Linked DNA regions of Drosophila melanogaster. The protein of the gene in region 1 purifies or fractionates together with the protein of each later gene. This does not show direct contact. Each region holds a gene or a part of one and is shown on either strand. Other genes may lie near its edges. The genes, in order: Apc and dia.

Region 1 (4,812 bases):
AATCTCTTTGAGATACACTACACGCTGCATGGAAAGGGGGGGGGGGCGGTGCGGTGAACTGGGGGATGATGATGCTACAAACAGTTTGTGTACAAAAATAAGTAGAAAAGTCGCTTTTCCTCCCCGCTCGGTAACGTGCGGGGGTGGTTGGCATGGTATCCGGCGTTTCGCGGAAAAACGCGTGAATCGCCGCAAAAGGCAGCAATAAAAACAAAGGCCGCGCACGTGACGCCCAGCGGGGGGTGGTGGGTAGCTTGGAAAAGTGGGTGGCACACCGCCTACTCTTATTATTTACTCACCAACTCCGTATTTGTTGTTCGAAGGTATCCACATTTTGTCGCTGCTGCTTCGCTGCAAGTTAAGCCGAAAAAATCCAACTTAGCCGGCCACTCCTTGCATTTATAATTAATCAACGGTTTTTTGAGGAAACACCCTTTTCATCGGCAAATATCTGCATTTGAATTCGCATTTATAACGGCCAATATTTATCAACAATTTTTCGCAATAGCACACATACACACTCGTACACATCTACGCACTCAATAAAACTTTCGCTTTTGTTGTTGTCTATCTCCTTCTCTTTCTCGCACTTTATCTTGTTTAATAACTACAACTACAAGCAGAAAATACACTTGCTACATTGTTGTTGTCGCTGGAAGGCAACGATCGCGGTTCCAATTGGCAATGATTACCGCTAGGTGGAAGAAAAGGAAGTGGCTGATTGGGAAGTCTGGAAGTGGTGGCTTTGCTTTTGTTGCCTTTTTCACGGACCCGCGCACACACAAACAAGAAAATCAATACGAATTTGGGACTCCCAGCCGAACTTCCAATTGGATTTCTACACTGTGCGCAATTTAAATTGCTTGTCCCTTGGCTTCGCGAATTATTACCGTTGTTTTCTGCTGCACTTGCAACGCGTTTAATTTTCGCTATTTTTTGCGTTTTATTATTTTTCGCGTTCTCCGCTGCGCAGCTTCCCGGGCGCAGCAACAACAAATATCCGTCCGCCGCTCAGCTGTTTGAAGAACAACAACAAAATTCGGGATTCGTCGGCTTATATACGTTGCAGTGTGGCCAGTTGCTAAGCGATGGATTATTTACTATTGCATTTTTGAGGGAATTTTCATTTTAGCGGTGACGGTCACACCGGTATTTATGGTCTAGCTAAGACCCGAACCAATTCGCAGTTACAGTTTTGGAGGCACATTCATTCAATGTATTCAATAATTTAACAAACAAAACAATACCAAATCCGTTTTAATATGCAGTCCATAGCGTTGGTCTGACTCGGCCCCATTAACTCTATCCCATTTTTTTTTAAATTTTTTCTTTTAAATTAACGGTGTACGTATTACTTAACCGAGATATATAATGAATAAAATATAAGCACTAAATCTTTAAGGTTAGAAAATAAATTGCAGTATAAATATATTACGAACGAAGTAAATATTCAAGCGATATATATGATCCCAAGATATCGCTACATTCTCCCATCCCTAGCAGCTATTTCTTGTTGGTTTTTCGAATTCTCGATATAACAGTCACACTGCTCGCCGCGGTTGGTCGCAATTTTTGTTGATAAGCGGACTCGGAATTTCGGCCGCGCTGCGTATTTGTTTTGTCGCGAAACAAGCCAAGAATCCAAATAGTGGCAATATCTGTGGGCAAACAAGTGATAAAGCGGGAAATGTGTCATCTGGTGGGCGAGGAAGCTGCCGAGAAATTGTGTTTTTAGTCAAGGTACGCCAATCGGAGAATCTCTGGGTTCGTGTGTGTGTGGGAGTATAGTCGCTGACTCTTCCAATTGGAATTGTTCTTTTTGGGCCTGACAATAAAACGCAGAATGTTTACTCAATAAATGCGCACCATATACAGCTGGCGAATACAAATGTGTTTAGCTCAACTTGGAGCATGAGATACTCTTTAGTAGTTTCCTGTTCTCCTGCCGATTCCTTTTACAGGAAAAATCAATAAAGGTCCCAATCAGAACGCGACTGCGCCCTAGTGTGGGTGTGCAAAGTGCGTGCATGTGTGTGTCTATGTGTGTGAGTGCTCCTTTATCAGTTGGAAAACGCAGTGTGTTTCGTTTGTTTCGTTGTTGTTGTTTTCGTTTTAGTTTTCCAACAGCTGCAAGTGATTGTGGCACGCCTAATTGATAACTATTTTCGAGCACTTCCATTCAACTTCACCTCAGCATAATTAATCACCGCATTAAGGAAAATACGTTAATATCGGCACGCTCGATTGTCTTACATGCCCACAAACATGGGAGAAAAGGAAAACACAATTCCACACTGCATGCGCTCGTATTTAGTTTCCCTTTTACTTTTCTACAATTTACATAATCATCATCTCGCGGCGGCAAAGACACAAAACAACCGGGCAGCAAAACAAAAGTGGCGTTCATTAAACCAGCTCATAAATGCACACACAGAAATCATAAGTACATACATATGTACATATGTACAGTAGTTAGTATGTAGTTTCATTATTTAATGTTTTTGCGTACATTTCCCTGTGGTTTGATGGCTCGCGGTGTCATCATCTTTACCGCTTTTCCTTCCCCCGCAAATCTTCCATTCTTTTTTCTTTGATAATTCTGCCGCGAATATTTCGTATGCAAAATGTGTGCCAAGCCAAAAAACCGCACAGTGGGTGGGATGGGGCGATGTGGTGGCAAAATTGGTTATTAGCTTAATGGGAATTCACTTATTGGAGAAATATTTTTTATTTTTGCTATTCCCTTCTAATTGTAATTGTAATTGTACCATTTTTAGGGGAGGGTGTGACGAAAACCACCCTTCAGATCATCAATCTGCCAAAAAAAATATTTCCCTCTTTCAAATATTTCAACCTAGTATTCATTTTATCACAACAAATTACACTTTCCAAATTAGGTATTCATATGTCGGTTTAAAATAACTTTTAAGACCTTACCCTCTATAAGGTGATGAAGCTTTATCTTTCAAAATCCAAATCTGATCCACCCATGCTACACAAATGCTTAATTTATATGCATATTACCAAAAATGGAATTGTTCATTCTCATAATTCATTTAATTATGCAAATATTTGGATATACAATTATCAAATAAACACTTTTATTTATTCTTTTACACCTATCAGTTTAAGTAAGTGCTTAGTAAGTCTTACTAAGCAAGTGTTATTCAAGCAATAAGTCACATTTGTTTTTGAAATCTCGTTATCTCTGAAAGAAATAGAAACTGGGTGACTAAAAGTTTGTCAGTCTGATTCACTTTCTATCCGCTAAACTATGGCACTTGTATTTTATTTCAAAGCGTGGGGTTGTTTCTGTTTTCGCTAACTATGCGAACCAATTTAGTTTCCCAATACAGTTGACTCGAAACGCTTGGAGTCGAATTGTGTCCATTGTGCAGGGCTGATTCCCTTGTGCGACTCGCTGGCCGGTTAATGACACGAGGAGTCGTCTCTGGGGGACCGGGTACACGGCTCTTGGCTAGACAAGTGACGCATATTCTCGCATTCTTTGGGGTACTAAAAGTATCTATGTCGTATCTAGATACTTGTGTTTGTCTAATTCGCGGATCGTTGATTCATCGAATCGCTCTACTCTGCTCTGTTCGTCTTTCGAATTCTTGGCCTCGAGAGCACTGATATCGTGACTCTTGCTAAATGTTAATCGGTGGAGCCGAACTGTGTGCCTTATCAAGGCGGTGATAGTGCCGGCTGATCACATATTTTATATATTTGAGGCCTAGGCAAACAATCGATCGGCAATGATGAACGATGGCCACTGTGTCCAGTGCGGCATTCCAATCGAGTGGCTTGGATGGATGGATGCATTTCCGCTGTTACACAAGCGATTTGCATTTCACAGCCACTCAAATTGCGGTTACCACTTTTCGTTCGCCGGCTGTTTTCGCTCTTTACGCTGGTCGCAATTAAAATTTGATTAATTTGCCAATTGGAGCTTGAACAAGTCGACTTGTGCGGAGCCAGAACTGGTACACGACCCGGGTCATTCCCAATCCCAAACTCAATCCACTTGAAGTCTTGAATTGGATTGGGTACACAGTGAAAAAATGCTTGAAAATACAAGGTATCAAATCATTTGTTATATTCCTTTTCATTCGATATCTAAAATTATGCAGTAAATAAATTGTGCCATACTTTAAGACACTTTGTAGATTGATTTAAGAACCCCAAGGATTTATTTGACCCTTGATTAAAGTTGTGTAAATAACTTAATAGTGACCTTACGTTAGTTACGTTATTTTCTCTCTGTGTACATACATATTTATGCACTTCTGTCCGTCCACGCTCAATTTTACGCTACAATAACAGCTGAAAAAAAAGAAGTGCAGCACCAAATTGCATTTGCACATAATTCAACGGTAGCTCAAATGAGAAATATGTCTTGTGCTTATGGAGTGTGTGTAGCAACAACAATGAGAGCCGAGGCAATATAATATATCTGCTGAAAACGCATCTGTATCTTTCTTCATGCACTGGAAATTCCGCAAAGACGACGCCGTGTGCCGCTAACTTTCTAAAAAGATGCAGCGCCAGCTAATCATGATAATGACTTAGCTGCTCATTTGCTATTGTGGCTGCCGCCACCTGAATGTTGGCCGATGATTAAGTTACAGAGCGATAGAGCAGGCAATGCACAGAACCTGCCACAATAGGCGAATTCTTCTGGGATACAACAGCATCCAAGCATCTGCTTAGAAAGTCGATCCTACCGAGCAACCTTATAGATAGATAGGGGTCGGCCAATTAAAAAGTGAAAAGCTATTAAATTGGTTTCCCATTAAGATGAATTTATAT
Region 2 (8,200 bases), on another chromosome or scaffold:
GCCGGTCGTTGTCGCCGGGCCTGTCGATTTCGTTGGCCAAAGGCTGAGCCCGTTTGCAGCGCCTCCAACAGACTGTCCATCACGCCTTCCTGCGTCTGCGGGGCATCCATGTCAACCACTGCCTTCTTACGCTGTTGGCGCTCCTGTTGCTCTCGAGCAGACTGCTCTCGGGCCTCCTGCAGACGACGCTTCTTCTCCAGCTCCTCGCGTACCCGGACATTGTCGTTGTGGGCCGCTTGGAAGGCATCCTTGAAAGTCTTGATGTCCGCAAAGAACTCCTCCATTGTGTATTTGCTGGGATCGAAGGCATAGTACTCGCTGAGGTCCTTGTACAGCTTCTCCATTTGCAGCTGCATTTTGCCTGAAATTAAAACGAGATGTTAGAGAATTCGATTTTGCTCATGTAATATTCGTTCCGATCAGATGAGATAATCTTACCCAGCACGTCCACTTGTTGTCTGCACTCCTCGGCAAACTTGCCCATCACCTCGCTAAACTTGTCATCATCACACTGCGGCACCTTGTTGTTCTGGAGATCAGTTTCCAGGTTCTTAACCGCCGAATTCATTTGCCGCATGGCCTTTTGGATGGCATCCATGTTGACCCGCGACGCTTTATTAACATGCGACAGATCGTCGTAGAAGTTTAGTGCATCTGGGAATTTCTTTTCCACCAGGTCAGCCAGGTAGTGCAGCAATGTCTGCTTATTATCCGCATCCTTCGTATTGGACAGTTTGGTTAAATAACTGATCTCAAAGCCAAAGGCGGCCTCGTTTTTGGAGCCCGAGTTCATGTAATTTCCAAGCAGCAGAATCAGCTCCAAGATCTTTGAGAACTTTTTGCTATTCCGGATCTCTTCGCATGCTGCCGTTCCTGCCACAATGTCGGGTTTGATATCCTGCACCATGTCCGCGTAGGTCAGCTTGAAGTTCAGGTTGTGAAGTCGCGGCGAAAGGCGTTTAATTTCCCCTGAAATTAAGTAAAGTTATTCTGCGCCTTCTGCACTACAAACTCCATTCGCCTTACCTATTGTGGCTGCAAACTGTTCAATCGGCGGTAGCGGTTCGCCCTTTGCCTTGATCTCCTGCAAACGCTTGAGGTGCTCTGGCGGCGGAAGGTACTGGATAAGTTGCTGCAGGATATTGGAGGACAGGATGTCGGTGTCGCAGCGCAGCAAGCAGATCTTGATCTGTTCGTAGGACAGATGCTTCAGCGATCCTCCCAACATAATAGCCAAGTTCTGAGCAGTCTTCGAGTCGAGCACACGAAGATCGACATTTTTCTTTGTCAGCGTCGTTGGCTTGTCCACCGCATCCTTCTGTTCTTTCTTTACAGGTTTAGAAGAGAATTTCACGGCCAGTTCTGCGAGGAAGTCATCCTGGGCCAGCTTATCCTCCTGGCACTTGACCCAGAATGCCTTGTCGGACATTTTGGCCGGGACAATGGCTTTCCAGTTGGCCCGCTTCATGGGATTCTTGACGTCCCACTTCTTCTTCGGTTTTAAGCCATGAGGCAGAACGGGAACCATGGGCCCCATCATCATGGGCGGTGGTGGAGGTCCCCCTCCTGGGCGCATCATGCCAGGCATGGGTGGAGGCGGTGGGCCTCCCATTCCGGGCGGTGGAGGAGGTGGTGGCGGTCCACCTGCCCTTCCCGGCATGGGAGGTGGTGGTGGAGGCGGAGGTCCACCACCTGCTCGTCCCGGCATAGGTGGCGGCGGTGGGGGAGGTGCTCCTCCTCCTCCTGGTGGTGGCGGTGGCATGGGTATGTTTACCTTGGGTAGCTTATTGGGCGACGGAGCCGCCACACCATTAGCCTCCATCAACTTGACTTTCTCCTCCAGATGAGCCGCCTTCGCTTCCGCCTCTTGCTTGGCACTCTCCAGCTGCTCGATCTTCTTCTCGTACTCCTCCGACCGCTTCGACTCCTTGGCCTTGGCCTTCTCCACAATGTCGTCCAGCAGTAGCGAGGTGTCTATATTAAAGTTCCGGTTCTCGAAATTCGGATCACAGTAACCCTTGTGGAAGACGATTTGTGAGATGCACTCCTCAATCAGCTGATAATAGGCAGGTCGGAAGTAGAAGTCATCCCTGATGTACAGCAAATGCTGCAGGATGGACAGGAAGTAGGGCTCGGAAGTGGTGTCAGTCACCAGGTTCTTCAGCACATCGAAGCAATCGGTGGCGTCGTCCATGTTGAAGGTGACATTATCGAAGCGCTGCACAAACTCCTCGAAGTCATCCTCGCGGATCTCGTTGAAGATCTTGAAGTGCTGCTGCAGGTTCTCATTATTGCTGGCCTCCACGATTTTGGTGAACTCATCTAGGCGATCGTATAGACCCATGCGCATAATCTCACATCGCAAGTGCAGGCGGAAGTTCAAATCCGTGGGGGTATTGGTGAGAGTATTAATAAAAATCAGGCTGTGGCATGCCAAGTCCCGTTTGGGATCCTGCTGATCCGATGCAAACAAGGCATCCACTATGGGTCGAAAGCGCTCGCTCGCTTTAAAGGATGTGGCTGCAATAGTGGTTATGGCTCGGAGAACCTTCTCGTAGCCATTCCGCTCATAGACAATGCAGAACGAGGCCAGCAGCTTGAGGGCTTCACACATCGTCTGCGGCTTCCGGGGATCCAGGGATTGCGCCAGCAGCAGCACCACACTATGCTGATCCGGATTGAGCACCACGTTCAGACCCCATGTGTTGTTCATGATCGCCTTCAGGCACCGAATCGCCTCGAACTCGATCTTCTCGTAGCTGGCATTATTCTTTGACCGGGCCAGCAGCTTCTCAATCGTCCCGATGCCCGCCACTCCAAACTCCTTGATCCACGAGATCGGATTGCTGGTGAGCGCCACGCGCAGAGATTCCACACATTGGTACACCTTGTGCGTGCTGTGCTCCCCATTCTGCAGGTATTCCACATAGTCTATGGGCTTCTCGAAGCGGGAGTTGGCGCTACGCTCCAGTGAGTTTTTACCTGGAAGAGAAATTGGAGTTGGAGTCGGATGAGCGCACGTATTGAATTTCTGTAAAGCTATTTAGTGGTCAGCGGTATTTTACATAGTAGACATAGGAATATGGTTCTATAAACACCTATTAATATCTAATCCGATCAGTTCGTAACTTAAGCAATTGATAATTATGGCTAATATTGGACATTTTGATTTGTTACACTTTTGACATAAATTAAAAGTTGGCACAATAGTAAATTAAAGTACATTTTGCCATTCAACTCACGTTTGTGCTGTTTCGATGATAAAAAGTATACGGGTTCATTCCAAAATAGCTCAAGGCTTATATTTTGAAAGAAAGAGGTTTGCCTCCCACCGACAACACACCTGAATTTAGTCATATCAGCGATGATTCACTCTACCCTATCATTAGTCTGCTAAATCGGAATACTTTCCCACAAACGTACAATGGCAATTTGATAAGAAAACCATTTAATTAACGAGAAATTACCACTTAAGCTCTAATCTGGAATATAATCGTTAACAAGTTATGTTAAACAAAGGTGTAACATTATACACATATCAACACATTATAATACGCAAATGTGTTTTTAAGTTTATTTGCCATCACTCCAGATTTTCCAACTTGAAGTTTGTAAATTTCATGATAAAGGATGATACATATTCTATATAGGTGGCTCAATGATTACACTTTGGAGGTTCTAAATAGTTGCTGCACAGCTTTATGTGATAACTTTGCCCTAAAACTGTGAGAGATAGGGGTAGTTAAAAGGCTATCATCATGTCCCACCTTTGGAAGGGAGGCCTTCGGTGCGACCACCCACCCCTTTTTCTGATTGACCTGCACCACTGACATCACTCAAATTGGCCAAAACCTGCCCACCACTTATACGTTTATCCGTCAAAGCAAAACTACGCTAACTGTTTTATTAATTAACTCAAAACGGCAAGCGAAGCGTGTTAATGAACAGCTTTTTGTGCGAGCCTTTTTTGTTGTCGGCCAGTCCATTGTTTGTGTTTTAAATTTAATTTCGCAACAAGTGGGTTCTGCCACAATAAACACGACCCACAAATACTTACTTCAGTCGCTTTTACCTCTCACTCGCAGCTATCTGCACCTATGAGATACGATTGTGCCGCAGCTCAAGTTTACTGACAGGCATCACAATTTATTTTCAGCTCGATTTTGTCATAATGTGTTTAATGTTTTCGCATATTTGCATTTTATGGCCGTTCCAAAGTGTAAGGAAAATCACCCTCTGCCTCTGCTACACTGAGAACTAAGCCTCGTCGGTACAGGAAATTTGAATTAAAATTTGAAATATTAAATTTATATTCAATAACAAGGCCATTGAGATTTATAAATAGTAGGTTATAATCATTAGCTATATTTATATATGATGTTTAGTAAAAATACTTTCAGTGTACATAGTACATCTCTCTCTCGCCTTCACGATGCACTTGCTTATACAACAAAAAGACCTAAGCGCGAAATAAAAGAATCATTTCATTTTCTCACTGCCACTTGACGTAATTTAAATTGTATAATGTGCACGGTGGTGGAAATTCAATGTCTTTGCATTTTCATTTTTTGCCGCTCGACTTTGTCACGCATTCGCCGCGTACCACTTACATACATACTATGTATAATATAGCACTTGGTATTACTTGATAAAATGGGCAAGCAGATAGTCCGCGGCTGTGGCGCAATTAGGCGTTACAAACGATAAGGGAACTTTGATTCCACACTCCGCAAGACTGATAATGGACCATGGCCATGGTGAACTAACTGGAGCGAGACCCAAAGAACGAAGCTGAAGCTGAAAGCTGAGCTGGCATTGAAATGTGCTCAAGATACAGCTGGCGATGTGCTACAGTGATAATTGGTAGTATCACTGTAGTACAGTAGAGTACACCGTACTAATCTCGCTGGATATGAATGAAGCAAACACAAGGGAAGATTCCAGCTGAATCATTACCGCGCTGCGATGCACATAATATCGTTATAATAATTCTAGAAATAAAGTATTCTCAAAATTGAAGTAGAGTTAAGCAAGTATATGTAGTTAACAAACAAAGTAATCACCTCTTGACTAATTGAAGTGGAAACCATTTAGAGACTTATGTATGTTATGAGCTTACTTATCCAAAGGATCGTTGACATCACTTCAATCGGTTTAGGAATTGGCCAGAAATATAGAACAGAACCTGGCCACAGAGCAAATTGGCAGCTAAGAAGGCGCTAAGCAATCAGAAAGCGAAATTTGCAGTGTCACGCACACAGCGAAACGGGGAAAGCACACGGACACGAGTTCCGTTACCTGCTTATCTTATCACAAGTGGAATGCAATATTCCGCAGCACAACAAAAGCAAAAAAAAAAAGTAGAAGGCAGAGTCACCCAGTTGCACGAAAATCGATGGTCTGCTGTTTGTATACCCTTGCAAAGGGAAAGGGTGTTAAAGTTTTGCCAATCCGGTTGGCCTTTCAAAGTTGCTTGGAACATTACGGTTCAGACGAGTTTAGATTATTCGTATATGTATGTAGATTATTCTTAGACTTTCTATTCCAGAACTATAGTTCTTAGCCAAACGATACTCAATCTTCAAACACAAATGCGGTTTTCTGTTTGAAAACGTGTACTTGCACCATGTTCTTTACCTTTCAAGTGCCACATAATCATCTTCTGTCGCTCCTCCTTCGATTTGGCCAACAGGGGCTCCCTCTTGTCCTTCGGAATGTTCATGTCCTCGATGATCTCCAGAAACTTCGCATCCAGCTCCGCAACGCTTAGCTGCTGGATGTACTGCTCAAAGTCCTCCACGCCCGGCACCACATAGTTGTCCGCGGACACGGGTCGTCCGCCATGGGCCAGGGTGCCACTGCTGATGGTTCCTCCCTTGGACTTCGAGGGTCTTCCGAACAGACTGTCCAGGAGCCCGCCGCCCGTGGATTTCGTTTTCTCGTGACGAGACATTCTGCAAAGAACAGAACAGAAATATTGGGTTCGATTTCATAAACTATGCAAAAGATTTCAAGTCTAACCCCAGCTTTTTGAGGCGCATTTCGTTGGATAGCTAGGCGAAAACTAAACAAAGACCAAACAACGATTTTTGGGGCCTGCGCAGTCTTCAATATTTTGGGGGAGACAACTTGCACAGCTGTTCCTTGTTTACAAGTGTTCGAGAGCAGCGCACAGACCGCGGTTTCTGATGGCTTCCCAGCGAATGCATCCAATCGATGGACGGATGGCTGGGAGGTGGTCGATCATTATCAGCTTGGGTTTATTTACAATTATCTGGGGTGCCGTAATGTCGATTCAGCCTCAACGGAGTGTGGAATTTTCAATTAACACGTACATATGTACGTATTTTGAGGGAACGAGGCCCATTACAGTGGTTCTTCGACTTGGAAAGGGTGCTGTTTTCCTTTTACATGCTTAAGAACATTAACACATGAGAGTTGGCTTTCATTTAAAATTTTTTAAGGGTGGAAATCTAATAGGAATTATAATTTTAATACTGTGTGAATATTACTGGTAAGCTCAAAAATGATCAATTTATAATTAGGTTTGTACAATAAGTTTATATTACAGATTAAAACACTCTCAAGCTTAACCATTTTCCAAATTAGAATCCGACCACTGTGCTATCCAAAACTCTCACCGCGTGAAAACGACTGATTATAATTATAAACAAAAACGATAAAAGTATACCGCAGCAAATTGGACAAATTCATTAATAATGCGCACTAAATTTACAAAACGATGCGATAATCGCGGCCAGCCAAAATAGGAAATAGCACGTTATTCACAGCGCAAAACTGAGAGCCAAACAAAACACGAGAGAAATTGGTTAGAATATGTGGAGAATATGGAGTGATTCATTTGACCAGGCTGAGAGGCTGGCCGTTAGCGTTTGAACATTTGAATTGCCTTGTATTGAAGGATGCGTTGGGAACAAGCTTTGGCTTTTTGCGTTAGCTTGTCCAACGCATCTAATGAATCACTAATGAAATCGGAATCGCAGCAGCTGAGCAGCAGAGGTAGAAAACAGAAAATCCAATAAAAAGGCAAACGAGCAACAGGTTTTGCGGATGGTTCTGGCTCGCTACACGGAAAACAAAGTACTTAAACTGTAAGATTTGATTAGGAAATGAAATAAACGTTCGTTATTAGTGCTCTTAAATTGAGTAAAATTTACATTTTAAGCTAAGAGAGCTATAAAGTGCTGCGTTTCAATATTTGGCATGCAAGGATAAATTTAATAGATATATAGATATAGATATATATGTGCCCTGGTATTTTCTGCAGTGTGGCGAACGGGCGTGCCAACTGGCGGCAAATCATTCACAGTGCTCGGCTAGAGAAATCAAATTTAATATATGACTCCGCAAAAGGCCAATTGTGAATGGAGTGTTGTGTGTGTGTGTGTGTGTGGGCAGAGGAGTGTGCGAGGGAGGGGGCGAGGAGGTGGGTAGTGGAGAGTGGAGCGACAAGTTCAAGCAGGGCAACAATTTCTTTTCAGGTCGCCAGTACACATAAGCATCTGCGGAGGAAATGCTTTCAACAAGATTTCTTTTGCCAAAGAATTTACTGCAATTGCCTCTTTCTCTATTTTGTTTACATGCACTGCATCTCTTTCCCTCCCCTCCACAACATCACAACACAACCCTCCGCGACCAACACTCCTTCCACAGAACGATCTACATATGTCTTTCTCGCTCCCGCTCTGGCATTAGTTGTGTGCTGCAACTGCGAAAATGTAAACAAGTATAAAACCGTCTAATAACCGCTGGAATTCCAAGAAACGAAACGAGAATTGGTAAGAATGCGCTCACCTTCGTTTTGATATCTGTGTCGCCTGCTCACTTTTGATTTTTTTCGGTGGTTTACGTCATAAGACCAGAAAAATAATGGCTTGCCACTCTCACACAAATAGAGCCACACTCGCACACGCACACAAACTCGCGATCAAACGGCTTTTGTTGTGGTTGTTGTTTTTGGACTATGTCTTTTTGTTTGTTTTATTGCGCGACGCTCTGTACAAAAAACAAGCTGACAAGCTGTGCACACCGTTCCCTCCGAACACTTTTTCTTGCAGTGTGGTACTCCTTACTTATTTAGTTGTTGCTCTTGCTTTCCACTTTCGGCCACTTGTTGCTCCTTTGCCGGGAATGACACATGGAACACACTCCGCTAGCGGGCTTTTGTGCAACGCAAACA

Evidence for each region.
Region 2: the proteins of Apc (region 1) and dia purify together in Drosophila melanogaster (affinity purification with western blotting, with the first as the bait; 2 studies listed by BioGRID). This does not show direct contact.

Annotation. Positions count from the first base shown.
Region 1 is NT_033777.3:28,841,488-28,846,299, reverse strand, and holds the start of Apc (APC-like), read left to right. Parts: upstream 1-1,551; 5' UTR 1,552-1,740; intron 1,741-4,016; exon of another isoform or gene 4,017-4,081; intron 4,082-4,812. Other genes in the region: spg (sponge), read right to left, coding at 300-333.
Region 2 is NT_033779.5:20,758,279-20,766,478, reverse strand, and holds the start of dia (diaphanous), read right to left. Parts: upstream 6,180-8,200; 5' UTR 6,042-6,179; coding exon 6,022-6,041; intron 5,955-6,021; coding exon 5,638-5,954; coding exon of another isoform or gene 5,582-5,637; exon of another isoform or gene 4,338-5,581; intron 2,983-4,337; coding exon 1,027-2,982; intron 970-1,026; coding exon 439-969; intron 362-438; coding exon 1-361. UniProt on the Drosophila melanogaster protein: Required for cytokinesis in both mitosis and meiosis. Has a role in actin cytoskeleton organization and is essential for many, if not all, actin-mediated events involving membrane invagination.